Rhinolophus ferrumequinum: one gene and its partners. The protein of the gene in region 2 interacts with the protein of the main gene of each other region in a pairwise test. Links are inferred from orthologs where the notes say so. Each region holds a gene or a part of one and is shown on either strand. Other genes may lie near its edges.

Evidence for each region.
Region 1: the proteins of PRKG1 (region 2) and IRAG1 interact in a two-hybrid assay, tested with the Homo sapiens proteins (2 studies listed by BioGRID). The link is inferred for Rhinolophus ferrumequinum from reciprocal best matches to the Homo sapiens genes PRKG1 and IRAG1.
Region 3: the proteins of PRKG1 (region 2) and FAM124A interact in binary tests that used the Homo sapiens proteins (3 or more experiments, as listed by UniProt). The two-hybrid records come from large-scale screens. The link is inferred for Rhinolophus ferrumequinum from reciprocal best matches to the Homo sapiens genes PRKG1 and FAM124A.
Region 4: the proteins of PRKG1 (region 2) and LMO2 interact in binary tests that used the Homo sapiens proteins (3 or more experiments, as listed by UniProt). The two-hybrid records come from large-scale screens. The link is inferred for Rhinolophus ferrumequinum from reciprocal best matches to the Homo sapiens genes PRKG1 and LMO2.

The regions. Positions count from the first base shown.
Region 1 is NC_046294.1:41,872,989-41,880,583, forward strand, and holds the start of IRAG1 (inositol 1,4,5-triphosphate receptor associated 1), read left to right. Parts: upstream 1-4,216; 5' UTR 4,217-4,603; intron 4,604-7,595.
Region 2 is NC_046299.1:34,131,024-34,138,495, forward strand, and holds the start of PRKG1 (cGMP-dependent protein kinase 1), read left to right. Parts: upstream 1-4,213; 5' UTR 4,214-4,650; coding exon 4,651-4,961; intron 4,962-7,472. UniProt on the Homo sapiens protein: Serine/threonine protein kinase that acts as a key mediator of the nitric oxide (NO)/cGMP signaling pathway. GMP binding activates PRKG1, which phosphorylates serines and threonines on many cellular proteins.
Region 3 is NC_046287.1:86,533,855-86,541,367, reverse strand, and holds the start of FAM124A (protein FAM124A), read left to right. Parts: upstream 1-4,212; 5' UTR 4,213-4,215; coding exon 4,216-4,280; intron 4,281-7,513.
Region 4 is NC_046294.1:23,927,764-23,935,021, forward strand, and holds the start of LMO2 (rhombotin-2), read left to right. Parts: upstream 1-4,100; 5' UTR 4,101-4,378; coding exon 4,379-4,385; intron 4,386-4,517; coding exon 4,518-4,746; intron 4,747-7,018; exon of another isoform or gene 7,019-7,134; coding exon of another isoform or gene 7,135-7,154; intron 7,155-7,258. UniProt on the Homo sapiens protein: Acts with TAL1/SCL to regulate red blood cell development. Also acts with LDB1 to maintain erythroid precursors in an immature state.

The DNA of each region.
Region 1 (7,595 bases), on a different chromosome or scaffold from region 2:
TCACTTACTCATCCAGGGCCTACTAAACGCTGAGCATATCTCAGAGTCCCTAAGTATAAATGGGGCAGAGAAGTCAAATCTCCCAGTGTGGTCATCTCAGCACTCAGTGTCTGAGCGGGCAGTGCTCTTGGCAAGATGCTGCTGCTCCTGGCTTGGCTTCCCTTGGTCCTAGGATGTGTTTCTGGCCTGGGACTTTAAAACTTCCCTGGCCTTGAGTCAAATGGCCTGTGGGGAGAACATCCCCATGCTGTGTGTCAGTGTGCCTCCACCAGCCCACTGTTGTTATGCTGAGGACATATGATTGTCTCCGATGGGCATGAGTGATGAGCTGAAGATTTTGGTAGAGCGAGGCCAAATCCCTGTGTGGCTCCAGGAACAGGGATAAATATAGCCTGAGTAATTGCTCATGTTCTTTTAAGGACGAAAAGTCAGCTTCAGGCAAGCTGTGAAGCTCCATGACCAGGACAGCAAGGGACACAGTTCCTTTTTTAGAGCTGTGGTCAGCCCTGCTTGTGCACTGCTGGATCCTGGGCCTCTGTGAGGCCATTCCCACTTGAATAAAGGGGTCACCTTCACTAGTCTACACCCCATGAGGGCAGGGATGGGTCTGAGGTGTCCCTACCGCATCCCATTATTCAACACTCTTCTGGCACAACAAACATTTTTAAATGAATAAACGAGCAGTGAGAAGGCTTTATTTTAAAAATAATCTTTAGAATAAGATCTATAGTCTAGTTAACAGTAATGTACCAATGCCAACTTCCTGGTTTTGATATTATACAACAGCCATATAAGATGTCACCACTGGGGGGACGCTGGGTGAAGGGTACGTGGAACACTTTGTACTATTGTTAAAACGTCCATGTGTCTGTAACTATTCCAAAATAAAAAGTGAAAAAAAAATACCTTTAGTCAGGCTTATGCCAACACTCTTTGATGTCTGGAGGAAGCCGTGCTGAAAGATGGATTGATTAAATCCCTGTTCACAGCAATGTTTTTGTTTCATTATTTTTGAATGTAAACACACGATTTATTCATACCAGTATGATTCAAAACCTCACATATATTAAGTAAGATAGATATTCTTTCCCTCCACTAGTTCCTCTCCCCCAAGGGCAGCTAATATTATTGGTTCTTGTGCTAATATTAGTGAGATTGTGTGTACACACACATATATACTTGTGAGTGTGTATGTGTGAATATAGGAAGTATGACCATTAAGTTCACGAACTTGTTGCAACAATGTTGCTAACTTTTTTTGATATCAGAGGGATTATTCATTATGAATTTGTACCAAATTGACAAACAGTTAACCAAGTTTACTATTTGGAAGCGCTGAAAAGGCTGCGTGAAAAAGTTAGACAACCTGAACTTTTCACCAACAATTCATTGCTCTTGCATCACGACAATGCACCAGCTCACACAGCCCTGTCTGAGGGAGTTTTAGCCAGAAAACAAATAACTGTATAGGAACACCCTCTCTACTCACCTGATCTGGATCCCAATGACTTCTTTCTTTACCCAAAGATAACGGAAATATTGAAAGGAAGACATTTTGATGACATTCAGGACATCAAGGGTAATACAACGACAGCTCTGACGGTCATTCCAGAAAAAGAGTTCCAAAACTACTTTGAAGGGAGAACTAGGAGCTGGCATCAGTGCATAGCTTCCCAAGGGGAGTACTTCGAAGGTGACCATAGTGATATTCAGCAATGAGATATGTAGCACTTTTTCTAGGATGAGTTCGTGAACTAAATTATCTGAACTTGTAAGTATATTTTTTTGTGTGTATTTATATATTGTTCTATTATCTTACTTTTTCCACTTAACCATGTATCTTGGAGGCTTTTCATATCAGTACTCAGAGCTTCTTTATCCTTTGTGATGGTTGTACCCCATCATGGCCCCCAATTGGTGGACATTTATGTTGTTTCTAATCCTTTTGCTTTTTTCACAAAGCTGCAATGAATAATCTTGTTCAGTTGTCATTTCCCAGGTGTGAGAGTGTATTTGTAGAATAAATTCTTGAAAGTGGAATTGGGTCAAAGGATACGAGACTTAATCTTGATAATGCTAAATTGTCTTCTATAGAGCTTGTTCCAGTAATGTATTTTATGAAATTCTTGTGTTAATAAATTGATTTTAAAAGTTATTTGGTGATTCCTTTGTGAGTCTGGTGAAAGCTGTGGGCCTATACCCAAGAAAAACACAAATCACATGGTGTTTTGCATACAATTTTAGTTGGCTCAGTGATGCCTGACAGCTATCCACGAACCCTAGTTTAAGAAATCTTGGCTGAAGGGGAGGAGGTATGGTATAGGGGAAAGAGCTGCAGGGCCAAACTGCCTAAGTTCACACCTTAGCTCTACCACTTACTGGCTGTGGAACATCAGGCAAGTTATTTCACCTCTTCAAGTCTCAGTTTCCTTTTTGATGGAAACGTATAATAGTTCTCTTTCATGGAGCACTTGTGAGGAGACATACATGCTTTCATATACAGAATCTAATACTGTAGTTTGGAACAAAGTAGATGCTCAATATACAGTTTGTACATACACACACACACATACACATTCTCCCTCACATGTACGCAAAGCTGATGGTTCCATTTCAACCTATGTTTCTGGTTGTCTCTGTAGTAACTCCTGCTGGATTTTTATAAGATTGATCATTGGCGCACAATTCCCCAAAGTGTGTGGTCCTTGGAATCACCTGAAGGTCTTAATTAAAATGCATATTCCTGGGTCCTACTTTAGACCCATGGAATTAGCATTTCTGGAAGAGGGATCCAAGGAGTTTCATAGTTGGGGATTCTAATGCACAATGAATTTGGAGAAATGGTGTTAAAGAGTTTGGTAAATTCCTAGTCCCTATACCTGCAATTCTAGTCGTTAGCACCATGTGGCTTTGCCAGTAGGAGCCAGTACCCAGCAGATGGGTAGGTATAGATACCTGAGGAAAAGCATGGCTAGTACCCAGGACAATCTCCTCTGCTTCCATCTACAAAAATACAATTATTTATGAGTGTAACCGACAACACGCCCTGCATTCTCATCAGGACTCTCTCATAACAACCAGGGAGGAGAGATAGTCCAGGACTAGATGCCCGTGGAAGGGGCTGGGATGGAGGCCCCGTGGGCCAGATTTGGTGGAGAAAGACTGTCATGAGTGGGGTTTCTGACCCATGGCCAGGAGCTGGGGATAAGGACTGTGTACAGCCAAGCGGCCACCACCAGAATGGCTTGAGGTCACAGGCCTTGAAGCATCAATCCCTAGAACTCTCAGCATGACTGATGAATACATTATGGGTGACATGTGATGGCCCAGGGCTAGAGTTGTCAGGTTTAGCAAATGAAAATACAGGATGCACAGTTAAATTAGAATTTCAGATTGAAAAAGAAACCCACATATTTTTAGTATAAGTATGTCCCAGGCGATATTTGGGACATACTTATACTAAAAAAGTTATGTGTTGTTTATCTGGAGTTCAAATTTAAGTGGGTGTCCTGTATTTTATTGGGCAAGCCTACCCAGGGCTTCTCTCTCAGATGCCTCTAACCTCAGAAGAGGGCTGGAGCTCCCACGTGACTTGCCCAGAACCTGGAGCTCCATCATCTTGGCTCCAGGTGAGCACTGCACCCAAGGTGGGTGAGGAGTAGGGACAGGGCGTGGCCTTCCAGGAGAGAGGCAGCCCTTCCTCACCTGTGTCTGGGCACGGACAGGAAACGAATGTGTGCCGATTGGCACTTATGAGATGCTGGCACTGTGCTAAGACCCCCCCCAATATTATCTCATTTAATCCTCCTACAACCCTATGAGTTAGGTGTTATCACTATTATCCCCACTCTAGAGACCAGGGCACTGAGCTTCCCTGATGGTAAGATCACAGGGCTGTTCAGCAGAGGAGCAGGGATTGAAGTCCCTGGGGCTGGTGCCCGGTCTCCGATTAGCTGAACCTTCTAGGCCCTTCTTTCTGGCAATCCCAAGGGTTTAAGGTGGGAGCAGCCCCTGCCCCCCGATCTCCGGACAGGAAATGTTCCTAGTTTCTCCTGGCGTGGGGCCAGGGTCTTGTCCAGGCTCACAAGCTTGCTGAAGATTCCAGGCTGGGAGGCTGATCTGCAGAGTTCCCTCGGTACCGGTCTAGCCAGGACAGCGCCCAGTGACACGAGCTGCCCATGGGCACTGCCACCCACTGTGCGGGTGCCCGTGGGGGGGGCGGGGAACCAGGTGCCCTCTCCAGGGCGAGTTGTTGCCTCACAGGCCCAGCCTGCCCCGAGCCCTGGAAGGGTCTGGTCAGCTTCCCCCGACGTTAGTCCCCTGAACCCGGCCCGAGGGGGCTCCTGGAGGAGCTCTGGGCTCTAAGTCCCAGCCCCTCTCGGAGGAGGCGGGCGGCCGAGGCTTCGCAGCCAGAGGCTTCTCAGCTCGGAGCTCCGCTCCGGAGCCAGATGTAACATTGACCTTAAATGGTAAAAGCTCCCCAGAGTGAAGAGAGGCTGGCCAGAGGAGGAAGGGGAGTAACTCAGTTTTAGGTAAGTCATCGCTATATCCAAGAATAACCTGCCTCTTCAGCCGGGAAGCGGAGGGAAACTTCTCCTTAAAGGTACAGGGAGCTGGGATGGGGGCGCTTGACTTTAACTTTGCAGGGGCGTTGGCTTGTGGGGTGGCATTTCAGCTGAGTATTTTTATGTCATAATTTTTAAATAAGTGAATCTTGCCAGTCCTAACTAAACTAAATCGTGCTCCTTTTGCTTGCTGTTGGAAAGCGTTGCACAGGTTAGGGTGAAAACGGGTTCTGACTGGAGGTCCCCACCTCCAGATTTCCTGTGGGCCCTTTTGGGGCAATAGAGGATCCCCAGATTACACAAGCCTGCGTTGCCTGCTACCCCTCTCCCAGCTCAGCTCTGTGCTTACTGCCCCTCTTTTTGCTCCCCCACCCCCACTCGGTGTGGCCCCTGTGTCCACCTTGGGCCCTGTGCTGGCCCAGCCCTGTTTCCATCCTTGACCTACTCTGTTTCTGTTTCTGCCCCTCCTGTCCTGTGTTTTGGTCAGAGCTCCTGTTTTTATCTGTCCCCATCTCTACTTCTATCTCCAGCTTTGCCCTCCCTTCCCGCGCTCTTTCCCTGCTCCTTAGAGGGGTTGCGTGTGCCCAATCTGTGCCCCAAGCCCTGCTCACCTCCAGGAGCTCAGTGTCAAAGATATTCCTCGAGTGAGCGGCACTCAGGCTGGCTTTCTCCAAAAGAAAGGCCAGTGGAAACCAGAGAGGGCTGCCCAGCTGTCTTGCTTCCTTCTGCTCAGTAAACAGTTGTAAAGCCCAGGGATGCTCTGCAGTTTGAATAAACAGAGAAAAGGGTCTAGAACCCCTGGCCAGTGCTCCTGCCTCCCAGAGCTAGGCAGCTGCTGTTTTGATGCTCTTCAGTCTGCTCGTTAGGACTCTCAGGGGGAGACAAATCAGCCTACGGGCTTGTCTGAACTGGGTCTCCTGCAGGAAAAAGGAGAAAGCTTCCTAGAACTGTTAGGCTGGGAGCACTAGGGAGTCAGAGTCTGCTAAAGATTACGTTGTACCCACCAGGGGGCAATGACAGGCCGGTGAGACAGGTGGAGTTCACTCCTCCAACCTTGCCCCAACACTTTTATGGGGATGCAACTTGGGCTAAGTGACTTGCCTAAGGTTAGACCACTAAGAGAGAACAGAGTTGGGACTCTAACCCAAGTCTGTATAACTCTAACTCCAATGCTAGTGTGAGTACACTCCTGCTTTGAATATGTCTTGTGATTTCTGACCTAATGGACAAACCAGTTGTCATCATCATGTTTGTTCAGTCCATAATTTAGTGGTGTGTGTGTGTGTGTGTGTGTGTGTGTGTGTATTCACAGCTAATATACCTTCCTGTATACTTGGTAGTAAGTAGGACATAGCTGCATACTCTCTAAGATTGTCTGGTAGATATAAACAAGTGCTAATTGCTACATTATCAATGATCTCCATCAACCTATTTTCTGGAAGAAAAATAAAAAAAACAAACATGCCATTCTTGCTATGCACCATGCTCTGTTCTAAGCACGTCCCATGTAGTAATTCAAGACTTCCACAACCCTACAAAGCGGGCATCCTTGTTACTACCCTCATCTTAGAGATGGGGACATTTTAGCACAGCTGGCACTTGACCCCAGGCAGCCCATGTCTGGAAGGTCCACTCTTAAGTACCATGCTCTGTTCATCTCCAGGTGGTTCTATTTCTGAGAGGGTAGTGGGGGAGCATGGACTCTTCCAACACTGTGTCTGATTTCCCTGTGTGATTTCATGTGTGCTTTCCTGCAATGTTACGAGGGATGGATGTTTATAGACGAGGACACTAGGATTAGGGAATGTTCAATTACTTGCCCAAGGTCACCTAGCTGCCACGTGACATAGCAGAGGATTTAGTATCTTGGATGAGAATAGTTAGGGCCATGTAATACCTTCCACTTGAAACTAATTGCAAGGGGGACCAGTGAGTTCAGGGTGAGGGGTTCTGTGAGTCTCTGGGAGAGGATTCTGTGCCTGAGGGGCTGAACTACCCGAACGGTTCTCAGCGTCCCCAAGAGTCCCTGCCTCTTTCCTCTAAGTCTTGGCAATAAACGTGGATGGATGCACCTCACACCTCCAGCAGGAGTGGAAACAGCCCTGGGAGAGCAGACACCCCGCTTCAGGCTCCGCTGTGTGTTCTATACCCAGACGATGCTGGGAGTGAACTAAGTGCTCAGGGTCTTTCTTTTCTTTTTCTTATGAGGAGATGGACGTAAGGCTCATAAAGTATGTTCTGGTTAAACAGGGCCCTGGGTTTATTATGTATGTGTGCCTGATGATCAGATGCTTCTAGCCTGGCTTGAGAGGATGCAAGGTGGGGGCCTCAGGTCATCTGCCCCTTCCCCATCCTGCACCTCTCCTGGGCAGACCCATGGAGTCACTGGTCTGCTGCTCAACTATCCTTTCTGTGGCTTGGAAGTCAGCAGAGGGATTCGTTTGCTGACTGAGGAGGAGCAGAGGCCTGGAAGGATGGGAAGGAGAGATCTGGGAGCCCCCAGACTCTGTCCCAGGCCTTGGAGAGTTCTGTGAATCAGGGGAAAGAGACAGAACTGAGTTCCCATGTAAGTAAATAACTGTAAAAGGAAGGAGGAGAGAAAATCGATATAAATTGAGTTCCTACCTTTGCCAGGATCTGTGCTAGGATTGCTATTTAATTTAATCCATGGGATAGAGATGAGGGCGCTGCTACTGAAAGAGGTGAAGTGACATGTCCAGGGGCACACAGCTGGAAGGTGTCGAGCGAGGCTTCTATCTCAGGCCACCTCGGTCCAAAGTGGGCACTTCCTGTGTTAGATGCCACCCTGTCTCTACTTAGTAACTCAGATCTCAGGTCACTTATCAAGTGTCACAGTCCAAATGATGGAAAAATCAAGAAAAGAGGGAAAGGGGATATTGTGTTTGCCCCGTGGACCTGGGAGGCCAGACCCTGAGTTCAGGTGACAGCCTAGGACACCCTCACTGGATGGGCTTTCAGACCCTGAGCCTTAGCAGAGGCAAATGGCCTTGGACAAGCCCTGCCTTCTTT
Region 2 (7,472 bases):
TCAAAACAACCCAACCATAGAATTTTTACTTATATGCATTTAAATATGCATTCCTGATGGCTGACTCTATCGGCCTACACAGGCGTAAGAATTATATAATTCTATAGGAGATAAGTGAATAGGTGCTTATAATGCTGTGCTTAATCCGTAGGAAACCAGTCTTTCTAAACTCCAGATTTCTATAATAACAATAAAAGAAAACAGAGGCTTAAATCCTTGTCTAATTCATCAAAGTGTAATTAAAATTCTATTGTCTGATTCATTCTCCTTTATAGTCCAAAGACAATTTCTGTGGTGTATTAGTAGACGTTGGAATAGGATGATTGCTTTCCTAAAACATATTTATACAATTACATACATGAATTAGTAATGTGCCTAAAATAATAGGTATTATTGCAATGGATCTTCCTTGGTTTTACTTTTCTATCAGTAACTTTGAAAGCAAGATTTGAAAATATGCATAAAATACAGAGGCTCAGCAATCCTGAATTCATTAGGGTGATCAGCCATCCTGGTTTGCCCAGGACCAAGGGATACTTAGCGCTTTAGTTTGAAAATCAGGACAGTCCCAAGCAATTTTAGTATTAAAACTAGGACAATCCCAGACAAATTGATAGAAGTTGGTCATCCTGAACCAGGATGAAATGGCACAGGAGTGAAGACAGTGTTGGGAAAAAGAACTTTTTGAAAATCTGTTTCCTGCTTTTGCAGGATTTTCTAAGTGACTCCTCTTTCCACCTCCCCAGCCCCACAGTCAGGCTAGTTAGTGCTAAGAACACTCATTTCTTTGGATTCAGAACCAAGACAGCAGCAACAGTTGGAAGTTCTGCAGAAGGAAATGAAAGGTGGGGGAAAGGTGGGGGTAAGGGACTGAGCTGTGTATTAAGTGATCTGGATTTGAGTCCAGGCTCTACCATTTATTAGATGGGTGATTTTGCGCCTCCATTTTCTCAAATATAAATGGAAATAATGATAATGTCTAACTTGTAGAGTTCCATGAACAATGTTAGCTATGCATTAAGAGTTCAAGAAAGTATTAAATAACTGCGTTATTTAATATTTTATTCAATAATTCTGAGGTTTATTAAGGAAGGCATAATACTAATCCACATTCATGAGGGTTGGATACAAAATTGAAGAGTAATAATATGCCACAGGTTGGTTTGGCTACTGGAGAAGCTTTGCTTCTATTAGAGCTATTACAAACAGATTGCTGAAAAGTCGATTGTGAGTGGACTATGGAATTCTAGAGTATAAATTGGGTTCCTTCAAATTTGCATTGTTCTCTGTTTTAGCATGTATCATCAAGATGTCATCCCAAATAGGCAGTGAGAGAACTCAGTATATGTCATTCCACTTTACTCCTTTCCAGATTTATGGTAGCTACTTCTTAATGAGTAGAAAATAGACTTGTGCCTGATCTTTGATCTTAAAAATTTAGCCAACTACATTAACTATAAGACATACAGTAAAATTTGTCTGCAGGACCTTGATTTTTCACATAAAATTTATTCTGAGCATTTACCAAGTACAATGCAAAAAATGTTTAAGAAAATATTGGAATCACTCAAAAGGTGAGATGGAAAAATCAAGATCTAATCAGCCAGTTAAGAACATCATTGAAAAACGTACATAAAATATTTATTTCGACTTTAAGAACGTAAGAGGAAAGCCTAGAATTTTGATTTTGCATATATAACTATAAAGTATTTAAAGTATTATAAAGATACAATTAAATTATTCTTAAATTATATAGGCTAATATAACCAAATATATTTTTATACCTTGAACACCTTTCAAAGTGTAAGTCAGTTGTAATAGTTGTATCTTCTTGGTCATTTACTTTGTTTGCACTTATTAAAACAGATTCTTGACTTTTAATATGGGATTCATCGTGGAATATTTTGTATCACAAGACTTCCATTTAAAATGAAAATGTAACATGTACGAGTATATATCCTATAATTGTATCTAGATGTGATAGCTTAAATAGTGAAAAATATTTATATAATTCAGTGTAAAAAAACATCGCTTTTGTTAAAAAATACCCGAATATTTTTTGGTTGAAGTGCAATTTTTTTATGTGGGGGAGGGGGAAATGCTTTAGTTTCTATTTTCCTTTGTACATGTATACAGTCTTTCTACAAATGAGAAAGAATATCCTCTACTTTGTGCTGCTTGAAGACATTAAGTAACCCCATTTAGTCCTCAAATGAAACTTCAAATATAACCCTGCTTAGCAGTTATCTAATGATATTCCTTATACATTGCTTTTGATGTATTTTTAGACATAAACTCTTGGCCTCCTGGAACCCTATAATAGATCAATAGAAAAAAAATCATTTAGTTTTAAACATTTTCCCATGGAATTAAAGAATTCCCATAGGTTAAAAAGATAAGAATTTGGCCTTTTGCCTGGGAAAGGGAAAATATCACAGGAGCTCTTTTAGAATAGTGTCACTTATACAAAGCCACAGAACTTCTGCTTGGTTTAGTTTTAATTAAGACAACAATAATTCAGAGCTATCATTTCCTGCTATCAGTATTTATAAGTTATTCATGTTTTGTTCATCACAAATGAAAATGTTTTGAGAATTATCCACTTTGTATATTACATGTCCATGTTGGAAAGCAGAAAAATTAAGTGTCTTAAGTCATCTGTGTTGAGAAAATTAGATCATAATCTGCATGGAAGAATGTTTAAGATTATATATCCTTTGTCATTTACACCTCTAATTCCAAACAAATACACTTTAAATAAAAAAGCTTGCTACCTTGCCTGTGGCTAGCTGGTCTTCCCTTCCCTTCCCTTCCCTTCCCTTCCCTTCCTTTCCCTTCCCTTCCCTTCCCTTCCCCTTCCTTCCTTCTTCATTCCTTTTTCTTCCTTCCTTCCTTCTGTTCTTCCTTCCTTCTTTCCTTCTTTCCTTTGTTTTTTTCTTTTTCAGCTTAGATAGGAAAGTTTTGTATTCAAAAGTAAAAGTGAGCAAGTTTGTTTTGAGACTAATATACGTCCTTGGCTAAGTTTAGATTCCAGTGAATAGTTCTGGATTCCAATTCAGTTTTAAACTATTGTCTATCTACTTTGTTTAGTTTCAGGGAATTGCCAAATTCAGCATTGAGGTTTATAATACTGAGTGTCCATGAATAGTAATTAGAGGGCTGCTAATAAACATACTATAAAATGGGATGAGTTGGTAAAGATTTAGATAAATATTAGGAATTTAGTTAAGTATAAAGTAAATATTTGGAGATTCTAAACATGTCTTCCAATGATGGCAGAATTACCCTTGGAAAAAAAGGATGCTACCTCATAGTCATCGTTGTTGGAAATTTTGAGTGGGCAGGCATGGAGTGGGGTGCTATAGTGTACGATTTATTGCAGCCCAACTTGGGTCCCCCTTCTCTTTATGATCTTCCCTCTTTTTCAAAGTTTGAGTCTTGCCATTCAAGTGGAAGGGTACAGTCCTAACACTTTGGTTGTCAGGGCAGTAATATTTTTAAAGGTATAGTTCAATTTTAGGATGAACTTTTTGAAGCTCAGTAATGATTCCCCCCCAACCCCCCCACCCCAAATTAAGCAAAGGGAAGTAGCAATGCCCATCTATGAACAATTCTGCAGACACTAGCTCAGGATAGTGGAGAAGCTGAGTAGTCTTTAGGGTCCAAACCCATTTTGGCCTGTACCCTAAAAAGAGTTCATTAACATAAGTTTTGAGGGGTGAGAGGTGAAAGGGGAGTCATGAGCGGGCAGAGAGTGGCAATGCTGAGGGAGAAAAGGTCAAACGTCCCACCCTCCAACCTCCCTTCCCCAAAGGCACCTGGGTGTTAGGGGGAATCCCTCCCAGGCATGGATTGGCTCTTATCTCCTGAGAGGCAAGTTTCTTTGCAGCGTTAGCCACCTGTGTGCTGCACTGCCGGTGGGAAAGGTGGCTTGGGTGAAGGGAGAGCTCAGCCACATCGCTCGGGAGCCTTTCTTGCTGAGGCTGGCGGTCCAAATACCTCCAGAACCCAGAGCGTTTAGGATGCAGAGTGCGTTCTGCCCGCTTAAATCGCCAGGATTGTAGCCCGTTGTCCTCCAGACCGGTCAGCTCTGGAGCCGGCTGACACCTCCCCAGTTTGCACAGGGTCCTGGCTGTCCTTTCTCTCACCTCCCCACCCCCAAAGTGGTGCTCCTGCCTCGCTCCGCCTGCTCGTCCCCTGGCGCGCCCCACAGGGTTATCAGGCTCCCCACACGCACCGCTGGCTTCCTCTGGCGCCCGGCACGAGCGACCCGAGCAGACCAACCACCGCCTGGGAGCCTCATTCACGTCCCCTTCTCCCGCTTCCCTGCCAGCGCGCTGCCTGCTGCTCTCCCCCGCGCTGCGGCGCCCACCGTGTGTCAGGTTTAATCCCGGGTTGGACCTGCTGCTTTGCTCATCCCCACACTCAGCCTCTCCGTCAGCCCCAAGAAGTGGAATCTGCACTGAAACTCTCCGTGGCTGGAGCCGGCGGACTGGGCATGCTCAGAAGCCAGGGCTGGCTTTGGTCTCAAGTAGGAAGCTTTTGCACTCGGGAGGCAGCGGCGACTTTGGGGAAAGTTGATCGGAGAGGGGAGGAAGCCCCAAGACGCGCAGCAGCGGCAGGAAGGAGCCCCCGGCAGCCCGGAGGAGCATGGGCACCCTGCGGGATTTGCAGTACGCGCTCCAGGAGAAGATCGAGGAGCTGAGGCAGCGCGATGCCCTCATCGACGAGCTGGAGCTGGAGTTGGATCAGAAGGACGAACTGATCCAGAAGCTGCAGAACGAGCTGGACAAGTACCGCTCGGTAATCCGGCCCGCCACCCAGCAGGCGCAGAAGCAGAGCGCCAGCACCTTGCAGGGAGAGCCGCGCACCAAGCGGCAGGCGATCTCCGCGGAGCCCACCGCGTTCGACATCCAGGATCTCAGCCATGTGACCCTGCCCTTCTACCCCAAGAGCCCGCAGTAAGCCGGGGTTGCGTGCCGGGGCCATGTGGCACCCTGTTGGTGGGGAGCGGCGGGTGTCTGTGTTGTCTGTCGGCCCCCGCCCCTCCCGCTTGCCTTCTCTGTCCTCATCCTCAGAAATGTTTCATTTCTGGCACCACTTGCGGGGCCGTGCACGTTTCTAGAGCCAGACTCCCTGCACCTACGTTGCCTTCATGTCTTTGTCAGATATCAAGCTATTTTTTAAAAAAAATCTGTACATGTACATTCATATATGCCAACTACTGATTATAGAGTTTGAATGTGCCCCAGGTGTGTGTCCGGCTGTGTGTGTATGAGTGAGTGTGAGAAGCTGAATAAAAAGCCCCATCTCCCAAATGCCTTGGCATAGCTGCCCAGCCGGAAAACCCTCAATGCCGGCTCATCAGACTTGAAATGAAATGCGTCTGATATCATCCTTACTTTCTATGTTTTGGTGGCTCTTCCGGATTTCTCTACATGCTGGCAGTTTACGCTGGTACCCTTCAAACCTGATCTTCTGTCATCATCAAAGTGTCAAAAATAAGCAAATGTGTATATAAGAGGGCAGCTTTTTTGATTTCCTGAATTGGATGGCATTTGCAATCCACAAATGGAAGCTTAGTCTGTTGATTTAAAAAAAAAATTTTTTTTCTTTTTCCATAACATCTGAGGGAGAATATTGCTTATTTTCCTTAAGGAATTTGCATTAGGTTACTCATGGGGCACCTCCTTCTCCAAAGGGGGTTCATGTTTTCAGGTTCAAATATAGAGAAGTACACTTACTTACCTTTATTGACAACGTAGACACACTATTTGCCTTACTCCTTGCTTCTGATGCAACCACCCTAGTATTGTTCTAGCATTTTAGAGAACTACGTAGTTCTGATGTCAGTGGGCTTCACAACTTGGGTGGGGAAAATTGAATGAAACTTGTTATACACCACTCAAGTCAGAGTTCTTATATAAAGTGGTAGGAACGTGAGATTAACATAGAATGAGCACCCACATGGATGGTGTTTTAAATTAACAGATAGTGGCACAATTGGCAAAATGAAGGATTTTGATGCTCTATTCCAAACTACATCACATTGGCTAGATAGCATGTTACATAATCATACAAGGTCCCTTGGAACCCTTCACTTCATAAAAACAAAGAACTAATATAAGGAGAGAGAGAGAGTAAATACTTGATTATATCATTTTGTACTTATTGGATTTGAGAGAGCTTGAGAGTATATACTAATTCCACTTTTGAAAACTTAAAGTTGTACCTATACTTGTTGGTTCCTGAAGAGCATTTGTTGTTCGTCATGCAGGTTTAGCTTAATGAGGGGTTCGTATTTTGTGAGAGAGTGGGGAAAAGACAAGAAGGATAAACATTTCTGAGATTCTGACCTCATCAAGTTGTCTAATAGTTCAGTAGACTTAGATCTGCCTTGGAAACCTGAATGGTTTCTATATTCACTCCAACTTTCTCTGCTAAATTAATTTGCAGTCCTGACATGCTTGCCTGTTTTAGCTAACGAGGTACATGGCCATCTCTCCTGGGCCAAGTTTTGCATAATGAAAAAAATAACTCAAAGACAGCTCTCTGGATCTTTAAGCATTCCACAGGATCTCACTTTAGTAACTGCAGGACTTTGGAGTAACACAGAGCAAACTCTGCTTTTATAAAAAGACCATTTTAATAGGTTTTATAATAAAGTATGATCAAGCCAGCTGATAATTCCAGTTAAATGTTGTATCAGACAAGATCTAAAGGAATCTAGAAAGTAGGGAAGGACCTGAAGTTTTAGAAATCTCTTAGTGCTTGACATGAAGAACAACTAGATTTTTTAAAAAGTCCACAGTGGAAAATGAAATTAGTGTGGCATATAATTCTGTTACAATTAACATTTTATCTGTCGAGCAATTCTCTGCATTCTGATATTTATTTAATAGCTTGTGCTTTAAAGAAGTCAGCTATTAAGGTATCACCATGATGGTTTCGGTAATTCTGAAAGATTATATTGAAGAAAATGATAGAATGTCTTCCAAGCTTAAATAATTTTGGAAAAACATCTGTTCTTTTTTTCACACTTACATAAAGGAAACTAGAATAAAATTGGCTTAAGTGGTAGAGTGTACCGCTCTTAAGAGAAAGAGAAGTGCAAAATTATTATTCTCATGTCACTTGAAGGATTGTGCAAGATAGCGCCACAAAAAATTAGGAAAATTTGCCAGAGAAGCCTCGTTTGCATTTCAATTTATTTTACTATAAAAAATTGATTATATTGGATTGGTGCAAAAGTAATTGTGGTTTTTGCAATTATTTTTAAACTTTTAAACTGCAGTTACTTTTGCACCAACCTCATACAGACACTGTCAACAAGTGTTTGTCATTATATTTCATCTTAGTGCAACTTAAATTTAGTCGTGTTTCTTAAACTTACACTCAGATTATTGGGAGTTCAAGTTAAAATCAAACCATCTAAATAGCATACAATTGATTTCAAATTCATATTAGTTTTC
Region 3 (7,513 bases), on a different chromosome or scaffold from region 2:
TATATGATTCATAGTTTCTAGAGAGCTTCAAGTCTCCTGTGAGGATTTATATCAACACCCATTTTAAGGATAATGGGAGTCTTATAAGGTTTTGTTGAGGATTAAAGAGATCATGAATGTAACATCCCTACCACAATCCCTGACATGTAGTGAGAGTTTTTAAAACAGTTGATGGTCTACCCTTTTCTTCTACTGTGTTTCCCCGAAAAGAAGACCTAGCCAGACAATCAGCTCTAATGCATCTTTGGGAGCAAAAATTAATATAAGACCCGGTATAATATAATATAATATAATATAATATAATATAATATAATATAATATAATATAATATAATATAATATAATACTGGGTCTTAATTTTTGCTCCAAAAGACGCATTAGAGCTAATTTTCGGCTAGGTCTTATTTTTGGGGAAACACGGTAGTGCCATGACTGATTCAGGTCCAGAGGTCAGGTTTTGCGTTTCCTGGCCTATTACACTTCCTGCCATACCTCAGCATTCCTCCCACACTGTCCTCAGACTCTGATGGGAAAATCTTTAGGGCAGCAGGCAGAGCACCCGAAGCAAACCAGTGACACTCCTCTGCTCCCATCTTGCAGGGATGAGGAAGGAGAAAATTGTACTCCCATGATTAAAGTGATTGATGCTAAATAGTTAGAAGTAGAGCCAGGGAACCATGCAAGATAATGGGCAAGATACCCTATGGTGATCACTGCAAGTCCCCCTGCTGATTCCCTGCTGACAGCTCTATTTCCAAAAAAATAACAAATAAAATGAGGCTCCTCAGACCCGAGGATTGAAGTGGGAGCCCATGCAGAACCATGATACATCAGCTCAGAGGGATAGTGATTACCATTCAGACTTTTCTTCCAGATAATAAATGCATCACTGAGTTGCCATCAGATACTGTGCCAAAGATAAATGATAACACTTGTGTCCCTTTGGTCGAGGGGACCTGAATCAATGCATCATTTTGAGATGTGGCCCAAGCTTTTTATTTGGTCTGACCTTTCTCTGTATATTTAAAAAAGACTGAAATAATTTAAGTAGCATCTCATTTTCCACAGCCCTCCTTCTAAAGGCCATGCTAATTTCACTCTTTCTTCTCTGACTTTTTCTTAATGCAGTCTTCCTGAGAATGGACTGGCCCATCCATTAGCCCTCCAGGTAGATGACTAGAACTCCATGGCATATAAGGGTCACCTGGCTTCTCCACTCACTCATTGGGTGGCCTGGGGCAGGCACTCGCTGCAGTTTAGTTTCCTCCACTGTAAAATGGAAAAATACACCTACTTCATAGAACTTTCTTTGTCAAGGGTTAAATGAAGTGACAAATATGAATTAACCCTACACAGAATAGACAAAGGTAGATTGTAAGCTATAGTAGCTATAAGAATAACAAGATGGTAGAATGCTCATTGTACTTATCTGTTTTTCCACTTTAATCACTCCCTTTCATCTGGTTTCATTGACACTGTATTTCTTCTTCCACTTTCCAAATAGGCAATAATTGTCTATTGATTTCCCGGAGATGTCACATTTATATAGAAATGTCTATCACCTCTGCCATATTGTGTTCTTCCAGTCACCTAGGTTTACTTTACTCCCCCTCTAATCCATGCTCAGTGCCCCACCCTGCCTCACACTTGCTGGTCCCCACCAGGGACACTCTCCTCACTTCCCACCTCCACGCTGGGTCTGTTTCCCCTTCATTTACCCATTCACAAAAGGAGAATAGAAGTGTAATCTCATAACCAAGAAAAAACACAGGTAAATACGCCAACCGCAAATCTTAAGTGAATTATCTTTACTAAGCATAAAATTAGTTTTATGTAAAAAAGAAATGGATATATTTTATTTATTTATTGCTCCAGGTGTTGGGGATATAGCAGGGAACAAACAGAGCCTTTGCTCTCATGGAGCTGGCATTCTTGGAGTAAAGTTGGGGAGGGAAGAGCAGGTAATTAGTAACTAAATCTATCATATGCTAGTTGCTGGTAGAGTTATAAGAAAGCGTAGGAGAGGTAAAGGGATTCTGTGATGTAGGATTAGTTGGGAAGGGCTCTCTGATGAGGGACCATTTGAACATGAAGCACATATAGCAGGAGTCTTGCAGAAAATCTGGCAGAAAGTATTCCAGGAAGAAGGAACAGCACACAAAAAGGCCCTGAGGCAGCAGAGGGCTAAAATATCCCTTTCTGACACTCAAATTTAAAATGTTCCCTTTTTCTCGGGGCGCACTATGCTTTTCTTTCATAGCATTTACCTCTGTTTATGTTTTATATATTTCAAGATATCTAATTCACTTAACTAGTCTCCCCCTCTGGATTACAAACTCTGTGAGGGCAGGCACCATATCTGTTGCTGTTTTCTGTCATTTGTATATTCAGAATTCACTCTCCTATCTGGTTAAATCATTGAATGAACTGATAAATTTAAAATCGTCATTAATGGCATTGTGTAGTAAATCACTCACAAAATTTATTTTGTCGCGTGAGAATTTTCTTGGGGGTCGGGAGAAATCTCCTCTGAAGAACTGGCATGTTCCTTTTTCTCAGCTAATGAGCACAAATTGAGTAGAATATATTCATTTCTGTTTTGTGTAAAAGGAATTTTATGCTCAGTAAGGAAAATACACTTAAGATTCGGGGTTGGCATATTTACCTGATGAGGAGATTGCATTTCTATTCTTTTATTACTAGTTTTCTCTTTTGTGTAATTTAATTAAGATAAGCATCAGAAAGTGATATTTAGGTGGGGAAGGAAGAAATAAAGGGAGGGAAGCAGGAGAGAGGAAAAACAATATATTCCTCTTTATGGTATCACTTGTCACCCAGAGTGACACTGCTTTGCAAGTTGGGAATGTAGCTGGCTTTAAATGTAGCGATAGCTGCCTGTGACTAGCGCTTGGCAGGTATCAGGACCAACGTTAAGTATTGTACATACATGATCTCATTAAATTCACAACAGGCTATCGGGTAGATAGCAATAGCCTTATTTTACAGATAAGTAAATTAAGCCTCAAAGAGATTAAATAACTTGTCTTAAAACAGAAGAAAGTAGAAATGAGTGCCTTCTACTGACTTGGACGGGGCTGTCAGAATTAAACCCAATGGTTCTGGTCTCCCCGCCCCCTAAGCGTCCATCCCAGCTTGTCAGACAAAGAGAAGCGAGTCCCTCCAATAATGATCACTAACTCACCCCAGGTCTTGACAGGGGTACTTTACGAACATCTATCCCCTTACTGCAACAACCCCTGACTGAACGAATGCACATTGAATGGTCTTTATTTTAAAAGACATTTTGTTAAAAAATAGCACAACGATGCATGGCACCGATTGTAAACTGGGAAGTTGGATGGTGGGAAGCCACTCAGACCTGTGCTAAGAAAGGGGATAATGAATTCCGTGTTGGCAATTCTGAGGAAACTAGAAGAAAACACCTGGATATTCCTATTCGTTCCAGAAATGAAACAGATCCCTACTTGATTTCACTGTGCGGTGGGGTATTTTCCCCGCGCAGTTCGCCGCGCCGGTCTTGGGAACCTCGGGGCAATCCCTGGGACTCTGATTCACAGAATGTGGGCCCAGGGGAAAGGGGTGGCTCCCACAGGCACACATGCACTTAAACACGCCGCCCGCGGTTACAAATCACAGACAGGCACAGGAGCAATCGCGTGCAGTACATACACAGAAGTGTGCACTTCCAAACACATACCTCACCCGTCACACCACAAACACAGGCGCACGCGACCTCACACACTTCTCCCACTCGTGCCCGCACACCACACACAGGCGCGCAACACGCGAGCTCACACATGCTCGCGCACATGTGCACATCTGCGCGCACACGCTTACACTCGCGCTCACACCCTCTTGCGCGTGCACATACCCTCATTCACATACACACACCGCGCGCACACCCTCACACCCGGAGTACACACCCTCTTGTGCACGCACTTATAGCGTGCACAGGCTCACCCCGCTGAGCAGCGAGGGGCGGGGCGGGCGGCCACTGGTGCCCGGCCCCTGGTGGCCAGGAGAGGGCGCGGCGCGGTGGACCGCGGTGGACGCTGGAATCCTTTGCCCTAGCCAGGGCGTGGAGACGCGAGCAGCCAGCCCCGCCAGCTCTGGCTGCACCGTGCTGGGCGGCCCCGAGGGAGCGTGCCCCGGGTCACGCCGGCGCCCGCGAGCAGAGCGCGGCAGGGAGCGCGCCATGGACCGCAAAGAGGGCGCTGGCGAGGAGGATGACTGCGTGGACTCGGGCGCAGAGACCGGAGGGTGAGCCGACGCGGGCCGTGGGCGGGGGGCGCTCTCCGAGTTGCGCGGCAGCTCCTACCCGGCCCGGGACCTTCCTGGACCCAGCGGCCGAGCGGGAGCTGCCCCTCTCGCCGGGTCCCCAGGGAAGTCAGAGGGTCTGTGGCGGGCCCGCGCCCCCCCAGGCCGCCCTTAGAGCCGAGCTGCGTGGTCCATGGCTCCTGGGGGCAGGATGGACCCACCCCAGGGATGGGGGAAAGTGGAAAGACTTACGGTTCAGAATACCCGCCTCCACAGGCCCCCGCCTCAGCCCCTCTTGCCCTCCGTTATTACTGAGATGATGTGGAGTGCCAGGCAAATGCAGTGTCCCCGAGATCATCGTTAGACAAACAAGGGATGCTCTTGCACTTGTTTCGTGAGGACTTTCTTCTTGTATCTCCCGAGCCCTCTGAAGTCCGGGGTGGGGGCTTGGGCATGAGGAAAAGAGGGTAGGACACCCGGCACCTAAAACTCTTTCAGAAGTCGTCTAAGAGGATAGCATTTTTCATTTTATGGCTTTCCGAGATCCCCCACCCCCAACTCCTCCACTCCCCCGCCGAACTTCCTCACCTCTTCGAGCACCTGCCCCACCCATAACTATTTGCCTTAGGTACAGGTGGAATAAAGATCGTGGGACGAAGACCTATTTAGAGAAATGTTCGCTTTAGAGTTTGAGTTCGCTTCAATGGACTCAAACAGTTACCCCAAACCTTCAGAGACTAATTAGCCCTCTCCCAACAAAACCGGTTTCCTGAATGTCTCTTAGGAGGTGAAAGTCATTGTAAAGTCTTCCATCCAGCCCCTATCTCTAGAGGATTTCCCTATGCAGAGTCAGCGCCATGTCCAGGATGCCTTTACCGACCCAGGAGGAAAGGGTGTCTTTTCCTGTCTGGGGGAGGGCTGGAGCTGCCCAGACAGAAAATCTCCATCCTGGAAGGTTGGGAGGTTTAGACTAATTTCAGAGGTTGGCAACATTGTGAGAGTGGCAGAAAGAGAGTCCAGGTCCAGAATGGACCCATGGGTCTGAGCAGTCCCAAAGAAGGGCTCCCTACTCAGCCCCCTTCCTGCAGGCCCACCCCCACTCTTCTTTGCAGCCTCCACTGCCACTGTTAGCCCAAATCTGGGACTTTATACCCTAAAGCATTTGCCCTGTAATGGACTTTCCCTGTTATCCAAATTTGTGATCCTCTATGGTTCAGAACCCAACAATATTCCAGTGGAGTAACCTGACTCCAAATACTGAACTCCCTTACGTTTTCCCACACTTTGTATGTGTGGCATTTATCAACTTTAATTGAAGATCCTTAGCTTTCCCCCCACTCCTGCCTCTAGTTAGCTGGACCGTGAATAGAAGAAAGCAAAATTAACCAGCTCATTTTCAGCTAGGTTAAATAAAGCACCAACTAGTCCATTTGTTTTCAATTTTCAGAGCTCACCTAAAACAGATATTTTTTCCAAGGTCTCCCTCTTGGAGAAATGAGTGGAGAGGAATCCCTGACCCAGGAGGGTGACATCACCCCAGGATCCCAACGAGCAACATGACAGCTGCCAGGACTCCTGGGAATGGCTTTGCTGAACAGAGCATGTTTCCCTGAAAATAAGACCTAGCCGGACAATCAGCTCTAATGCATCTTTTGGAGCAAAAATTAATATAAGAACTGGTCTTATATATAATATTATATTATTGTCATGCAGGGTGTCATGTGGGGTCTCAGTTCCCGCTCCCCGCACAAGAACACAGGATACGGTGAGGCCAAAAAGAAACAACAATAGAGCCACAAATAGGGGAGTCATACCACTATATTCTCGCAGGTGGCTGGGTTGGAGACGCAGGAAGCAGGAGCCACAAGATCGGCAACCTGCCGTCCACTTCTCTGCCAACCAACCCCTTGCTAACTGCAATCTGCGCTTGCTAGCTCAGTCACGGCAGTTATATCAGTGGCTAATGGCTAACCAGTAACAGCTGATGGCCAACTAGTCACAGCTGATGGCCATCTACTACCCAAGCCAGCACCTTTCCTCATGAGGCCGAGAGCCTGGAAACTGCTCTCCTGGCTCTGTCCCCACAATTATATAAGACCCAGTCTTATTTTACTATAAGACATTTTTACTATAAGAATTGTTGCTTCAAAAGACACATTAGATCTCATTGTCTGGCTAGGTCTTATTTTCAGGAAAACACAATACTGACACCAGAGCTTCTATTCTCTGCCTGTCACAAAAGTTTGCAGTTGTAACAGGACAGAATTATTTAAAGAATTCTTATTGCCTCAGTAGCAGCCTTAAAGATACAGGTAGAATGGCCTGCATTTAAATAACATAGTTTCTGTGTGTGCTTATTAGTCTTGTGTTTGCCACATATTCACAAATCCCTTGAAGTTTCGTTTAGTTATCAAAAAGCTGTTCATAGTTTCCCTGCTTTTCTAGAGCTTGCCCCCTCTTACCCTATCTAGCTTTCATATAGCTGCCTAATGTTGGGTATAAAATACAGAGAGAACACTCAATATATATTTGCTATCATTATTATTTTTTAAACACAGATCTGATCATGTCTCTCTCCCGTTCAAACTTTTAGTGGCTCTGTCACTATAAAAGGTGAGGAGCTCAGCGTAGCCTACAAGCCCCCATGCTATGGGTTTCTTCTCTCTCTCTCACACACCTTGCTTCTTGGAAGGTCCACCCTTGTACCCTGCATCTAGCCACATCAGCAGGGTGTTTCCAGGTCCTTGCTTTTGTCAAACTGCCCTCTTTGCCAGCTACGCCCTTTTCCACCTGGCATGCCTCTCCACCAGGTGCAACTCTACTCTTCTTTTTCAAGACTCGGCTCAAGTGACACATCCGCTAAGGCAGAGATCCTTAATTTGGGGTCCATGTATTGCCTCAAGCTTATGCAGAATGGTACCATTTGTGAATTTTTATGAGAAGAGACTGATCTTTATCTTTAAAGTAGCCTGTGATTTCCTCCAAACCAAGTTTGAGCAGGGTGTGAGAAATTTCATTTTCAATAGGTTGCGTTTGAGGTGTTGGGAGACGTCCAAGTAGAGATGATGAGCCTGAATGTGCCTACTTACCTGGAGCTTAGAGAGGAGGTATGTGTGATGACATTGCATTAGGGAACTATCTGCCTACAAGTGGCAATGGAAGCCGCGTAGAGTAAAGCAATTAGAGGCAAAAGCAAACACTTACCTAGCATCACTATGTGCAGGTACTATTCTGAG
Region 4 (7,258 bases), on a different chromosome or scaffold from region 2:
CTATGCACCATCACTGCAAAGCATTTTTACACACATTGTCCTATTGAATCCTCTCAAAACTCCTGTGAGGTGAGCCAGCATCCCAGGGGCCTCATCTTAGTCCTGGCCCTACTGAGCGTTACAATTGCCTTCACTTGACAGATAGAGAAACTGAAGTTCAGAGAGGTGAAGTAACTTCCCCCAAATCACACAGCTAGTAAACAGCTGAGCTATGTTTGTCTGGCAGCTATGCTCATTCTTCTGAACTCAGTTGATGTGCATTTTTTTGATATATCTATATTTTGGGGCTCTTTTCTACAGTATAAGAAATCTGATTTTGTTTTTTTTTTTTTTTTTTATCAGTAAGGTTACTAACAGGTCAAACATTCTGTGAAAACATTTCCATCAAACAGCCATGAAATGTTCTGAAATAAGTTTGGGAGCCAGGTGCCTCTGACAATTGAGTAGTTTAAGAAATTTTCATGAGAACTGAAGCCATATCAAAACAAATCTTTATTTTTGTTCCTATATGTGAATGTCACAAATAACAGGCATATCGTGCAACTTGGCTTCTAATGGTTGGAAAAGAAATGAAAGAAGTAAATTGTCGTTCTTGGCATTTTCCCAATGACATTTGCATTTTCATTTCTATTAGAAGTCCATTTTAGCACAGAAATGTAGCCTTAGTCACCTGAAACTGCTCTTCCCTAGAAAACAATCGTAAATGTAATAAGCCAAAAGAATAGAAAACGCCAACAGGAAAGAACTAATCCACCTGGGCTCAGATTCATCATACAGACTGATTCAGTCTTCCTCTGACATTCACATTCAGGAAGGAAAACTTGGAAATTTTCTAAATTTTAGGGTATTTAAGATTTAAGAGGAGTGAGGGAAGGGAAGAATTAAATTACAATCCCACTGGGTAAGAATCAAGCACAGATTTCCCCAACTCTCAAAAACCATTTTACGTGTTTAAATCACCTCATAGTTACTGAGTCCCTCTTCTGCGTAAGGTAGAAGGTTGTTATGGAAAGAGACAATAAGGTCATGATTGCTTTAAAATATTCATAATAAAAACACATTTTCAGACTTGATTCTAAATGTTAAACTTAAATTTGAGCAATTTAATTGCCCATTGAATAGAAATGAAATCCCACCGGTAGGCAGTTATTTCTTCCAACCACTGTGTGTGAAATTGAAATCTTAAGATACCATTTCAAATATTCACTTCTCTAAGGAAGTTCTCCCCAAAGAGTTGTGAAAGATAAGAAACTAACCCAAAGTCATAGGCAGTAATCGCTCTTTCTTTGCACTTGGGTCAAAACAGAAGCATATTATTAAAAAGAAACTTTATGCGCCAGAATCAGCCGTTCAATGGTTACCTCCTGGAACCCAAGGATATATTTATTTTAACAACTAACTTGAGGCCCATACAAAACTGTAGCAAGAAAGTAGTAACTTATCAGATTTAATCAAAACAAGGAGATGCAAACATATCATCTAGTCACCAAGATAATGAACATTAAGATGGAAAATGTTTATATGTTTTGTTGAGCAGCAATAGGCGGTAAGGTAAAGGGACCCTGCTCTGTTTGCTGTTTAAAAACAGAGTTATTTTGTAATTTGGGTGGGAAATTCTTATCTGAAACCCCCATTTCACCTTTAAATTTAATTTCAAGCTTGCTTTGTTTGTTTGTTTACTTATTTATTTATGAGGTATAATTGGCGTACGTTATATTAGTTTCAGGTGTAAAATACAATGATTCAGTATTTTTATATATTGTGAAATGATCACCACATAAGTCTAGTTAACATCTGTCACTATACATAGTTACAATTTATTTTCTTATGATGAGGACTTTTAAGATCTACTCTCTTAGGGGCAGCTGGTTAGCTCAGTTGGTTAGAGCGCAGTGCTCTTAACAAGATTGCCTGTTCAATCGCCACATGGGCCACTGTGAGCTGTGCCCTCCACAACTAGATTGAAACAACTACTTGACTTGGAGCTGATGGGTCCTGGAAAAATACACTAAAAAAAAATTTTTAAACAGTTTAAAAAAAAAAAGATCTACTCTCTTAGCAACTTCCAAATACGCAATATAGTATTATTAACTATAGTTTGTCTAGTCTGTGTAGACTGCACATTACATATGTAGGACTTATTTGTTTTATAACTGGAAGTTGGTGCCTTTTGACCCCCTTCACCCATTTTGCTCACCACCCCCCCAACACACACACACATACACACACTGGCAACCATCAGTGTGTTCTCTGTATTTATGAGTTTTTTGTTTTGTTTTTGTTTTTAAGATTCCATATAAGTAAAATCGTATGGTATTTGTCTTCCTCTGTCTGACTTATTTCACTTAGCATAATGCCTTCTAAGTCCATGTATATTATCACAAATGACAAGATTTTATTCTTTTTAATGGCTGACTAATATTCTATTGTATATATGTATAACACTTTATCCATTCATCCACTTATGGGCACTTAAATTGTTTCCATATCTTGGCTATTGTAAATAAGGCTGCAATGAACATGGGGGTGCATATATCTTTTTGACTTAGTGTTTTTGTTTTCTTCAGATAAATAACCGTATGTGGAATTGCTGGATTCACGCTCTTTTTAAAATCTCCCAATGATGTCTTTTGCTATAACATAGCAGCTGCCAGTTATATGCCAAGTGCTTTCCATGCATTAAATCTCATATTTATTATTACCCCCACCCCACAAAGTCTATGTGCCACACTTTGCATGCATTCACTTATTTAATCCTCACATCAACTGATACAATGGGTCTGGCATCCCCATTTTACAGATGAGGAAAATGAGAGTTTCAATTCCTGCTGTTAGCCCAGGTTCACACAAGTGGGAAATGGTGGATTGGCAGGCAGGCAGTCTGACTCCAGAGTCACAACCCAATAACTGCCTCCTCAGATTAAGTAAGCGTCCAGGGACTCACCTCTGACTTAAACCACCTTTCAGGGTGAACTCATCCAGGCCCTTCAGTGCCATCTTTAAAATGGGAATAAAATGTCTATCACCATGGTCCAGACGGTTCATAAAAAAACTATGGATTCTGAAAGTGCTTGGTAGTTTCCTCTTTACAAGATTTGTGACTGGTGTCATGTACAAATAGGCATTTAATAATAATTTCTGAATGTGATCATTTTCAAGGAACTCTGATGAGGCCCAAGGGACCCAAAGTTTTTCTCTAACAGAGAGCAGACTATTGGCCTCATCTTCTCCCCTTCTGCATTTCTGCCTCTTCCTAGAATTTCTCCCTGAGGTTGGAGGGGAAACCTGAACTTCAAAATCAAGTCTGGCTTCTTCCCTTTCCCTGACCCGAGGCAAAATAGTCTCTTGATCATTGCTCTTGATCATTGGAAAGGCACTTTCTCTGTGCAGAGTATTACTGGCACTTTATAGGGGGCCGGTTTAACCGCAGGAGTCCGATTTTTAAAAGATGCTGAGGGAGGGAATTCTGCTGCCAGCAGATGGAAAGGAGACTCAGAACAGCTTGGTCCCTCCCAACCACCCTCCCTCCGGGATTAGCTGCCCTGACACTGCTCTGGCGTACCCAGCCCGTGTGGTCCCTGCTCGCACAGTTCCAGCCGCCTGTCTAGAGCGCGCACGCAGTCACAAGCCCGCAGCCAGCAGAGCCGCGCTGTCCCGGGCATCCCCGCGCACCGCGTCGGCGGACCTGGGACCTCGAACCCCGGACGCGCGCGAAAGCCATTCGGAACGCTTGCATTTCTGTATGTGCTTATTTCACATTCTTGTCTTTTCTTTCTTCCCTGAGCGGCCCGCTTGTTACTTTCAGTCTTAGTTAGCCAAAAGGGAAACGCCGAAGAGGGGAAGCCCTGAGAATTGATTTAGAGGCAACCCAGCCGCCTCTCCAAGGAGAGGTGTTCACTGAGCGACTCTCCCCGTCCCCGACGCGGGCCCCTTTAAGAAGCCAAGTCTGTCCTGCTGCTGCTGCTACTGTTTGTATTGCAAATCCCCAGGAGCCCCGTTTAAAAAAAAAAAAAAGGAAGAAAAAAAGGGAGGGGGGGGACCGGGCAGCTGTCTCTTTAAATGTGATTTCCTTCTATTGTATTTGAATCGTGATCAGGAAAAAGGAAATGAAACCAGAGACAGAGGGAAGCTGAGCGAAAATAGACCTTCCCGAGAGAGGAGGGAGCCGGGGAGAGAGGCAAGGTCCCCTCCCCGCCCCCAGGCCGCCGCCCCCTCCTTGCCCTCTGCGGCGAGCTGCGCGCCGCGACCCGGGCTGAAGGTGCGAGGGGCGAGGGGCGGCCGGGCGGGCGCGCACCATCCCCGCGGGCGGCGCGTCGCCGGGGACAGCGCGCGAGCCGAGCCGAGCCGAGCTGGACCGGGTGGCGGCGGCGGGACCGGGATGGAAGGTTAAGTCCTGAGCAGCAGCTGCTGCTGCTGCTGCTGCAGCCGCCCCGGGCCAGGCTGCGCGCCCGGTTCCCCGCCTCGGCCGCGGCGCGCCGGCAGCTCGGTGATTCGCTCTCTCTCTTTGGCGTTTGAAGGGAGCGCGGTGACTGTCCTTGATCGCGGAGGGGCGAGCTCGCCGCCAGAGCGCCAGAGCAAGAGGAGGTGCAAGAGCGGCGGCGGCGGCGGCGCCCGAGCACCGGAGGGGGTCCGAGCCCCGGCAGCCGGCCAGCCCTGCGCCACAAAGGGAGCGCCTCCGCCGCCTGGCACGCCACCTCCCTCCCCAATGTCCTCGGCCATCGAGAGGAAGAGCTTGGACCCGTCTGAGTAAGTGTGGCGCTCCTGCCCCTGCCACCCACCGCGTCCACGGCCTCGCGCCCCGGGGCAGCAGGGTGGCGCCGGCGGCCAGCTAGAAGGCTCCAGGTGCGCGCCCGCAGCGTGCCCTTGGCTCACTCCGCCTTGCGCGGGGCTCCCCCTGGCTTGCGGGTGACTCCAGGGGCACTGGGAGAGTGGCTCGGCGGCAGGCGGCAGGGAGAGGAGGTCAGCCCGGCGCCTCTGTGGGCCCCTCTGGGCTACCTGGAACACTCCCAAAAGCCGCCGCGGGCCAGAAAGTTTACAGGGGAGCAGGCACAGCGGGGAGCTCGGAGGCGCGTAGGTGCCGTCCCGAGAGCGTTCAGGGCTTGATTCTTCCCCTTTTTCCCCACGAAGCTTGTTCTCAGCCCCCTTTCTCTTTGTCCATCTGGTCTTGGACAGGGGGACATTCCAAGTGGATTCACCCTGAGTCCCCACCGGCCCCCTTCCCGGCCCGCTGGTTGAGCAGTCGCCAGCACAGTCAAAGACGGGCGGATGAGGGCTGCGAGCGTCCACCTCGGAGCTCGCTTTGGCCTGCAGAGACTTTAGAGCAGCTAAATCCGGAGTTAATCTGGGTGCATGTCCCCCCTCCCCTCGGAGTCCACCGATGGGGTCCTTGTAAACCTCGAAAGTTAGTGCACATTTTGTGTATAGGTGAATTTTTCTGGGGAGCCGAGTCTTACATCTTTTATCACAGTCTACAAGGAGTCAGGGAGCCAGAGCTCTAACGACCGCTTGCCGCATTTGTTTCCTGAGCCTCTTACTGGTTTGAAGTGTTTCCCTATTCCCAACCTATCTACCTCCAGCTCATTCCTTGGTGTTAACAGGGGGAGAAAGGGTTGTTTAAGATATTTTCCCGTCAGCACAAATGCCCTTTTAAGATTCATTAGCTGTCTGGTTTTGAGAAATTTTATTCCTTTGAAGTCCCCCATCTAATCCTTTGAAGGGATTTGTTACACAGACCAAAGGAGCTGGTTAATGACTTGTCCATTTGTGCTTTTAAGAGGCATTTGTTTTGTTTTGTTTTCTTTTCTTTTCCTGCTTTAAAAGAATTGTGCTTTCCTGATTGAAGTTCTCCCCTCCCCCGCCCCCACTCCAGTTTCAGCCTTCTGTGGTGTTTATATACCTGGGTTTTACCCTCAGTTACCAGCATAAAAGCTCAGCGTGTTCTCATAAAACACAGGAAGTACCATGATCCAATGAGAATATAAACATCACTCTTCAATCTTGAAGGTTCAGACACCATTTCTATAAGGAGCTAGGTTTGTTCTAACAAAACCCAGCTTCCTTAAGTTCTCAGGAGAAAAATTATATATATATGCACAGACACTGGGTTTAAAGGGTGGTTTTCTCACTTTTTTTTTTTACAAACCTAGAATTACAACTTAGCTCTGGAGTTTTCAGAGCCTGAGCAAGACCACAGTAACGCAGTAAGTGAATTGGATGAATTGGTGCCTAATGCCTTTTCAAATAGCAGAACTTAGTCACTAATCTTTTTATTAGAAGATAAATCTGGAGGTTTTGGTGCCCTAAAGGAAGTTTGCTCTTTTCAAAGTTTGTGCTTTTCCACTAATATTAGAAAATGGAAACACCCTAACCTCATAGCACAACAGGCACACACTGAAGGGAGCTCATCTATTCCATCCTATGTGTCACTATTTGCCCAGTGAAGGCAGGTGCTGATGGAAGGTAGTTTTAAGAATTACTGCAGCACATTTTTTTCCCCTCACTCAGAAATTGTCGAGAAATTATCCCAGAAATCCAGGCTGACATGTATTTCAGGTATAATGTATAGGCTCTAGAAGAATATAAAATATTAATTTGAGGGTGAATCCCACTCGGTTATTGGCTTGGAACATCCACCAAAGATAATGTGATATTATCGTTAATTACAGAAAGACAGATAGAGCCAATATCTTAACCTGTTCTTTCCTGTCTCAGGCCATCACAGTAGCTTTTGCTTAACTTCTCTGCTGTGGAACCCTATCCTACCAGATGCTTTGTTGTGTACTCACTCAAAGCCCACTTGGGTTAGTGCGATCCACATCTCCAAATGACAGATAAAAACTTGCCTAGGCATATGCAAATGAAACATTTAGACAGAAAGACAGCCAGAATTCTTGGTCCTGGAGATTTCCTCTGCCACACAGTCGGTGGCCCCCAGCATCACCCGGTAAATAACAAGAGCAGTTCATTTTAATTCCTGGCAGTTTGGCACCAGCTAAGTGCAAATTCTCCTCTTTCACAGTTGGTTGGCACCATCAGCATCAGGGCATCCAGCGGTGTTAAAGTTCCCTCAGTGTTTTTGAAAGCCCCAAGTAAGACCAGGCACTGTAGAAAGAGAAGAGATGCAGTTCTGGGTTGATGCGCATGGAAAATGCTGGGTATGTTATTTTTCAGAAAAGAGACTGGAAGTCCTTCCGTCTAACCTGTGGGGGAAAAAGAAAACCAAGTCAGGCGTCAGGGAACTCTTAAAACTGTTTTAAAG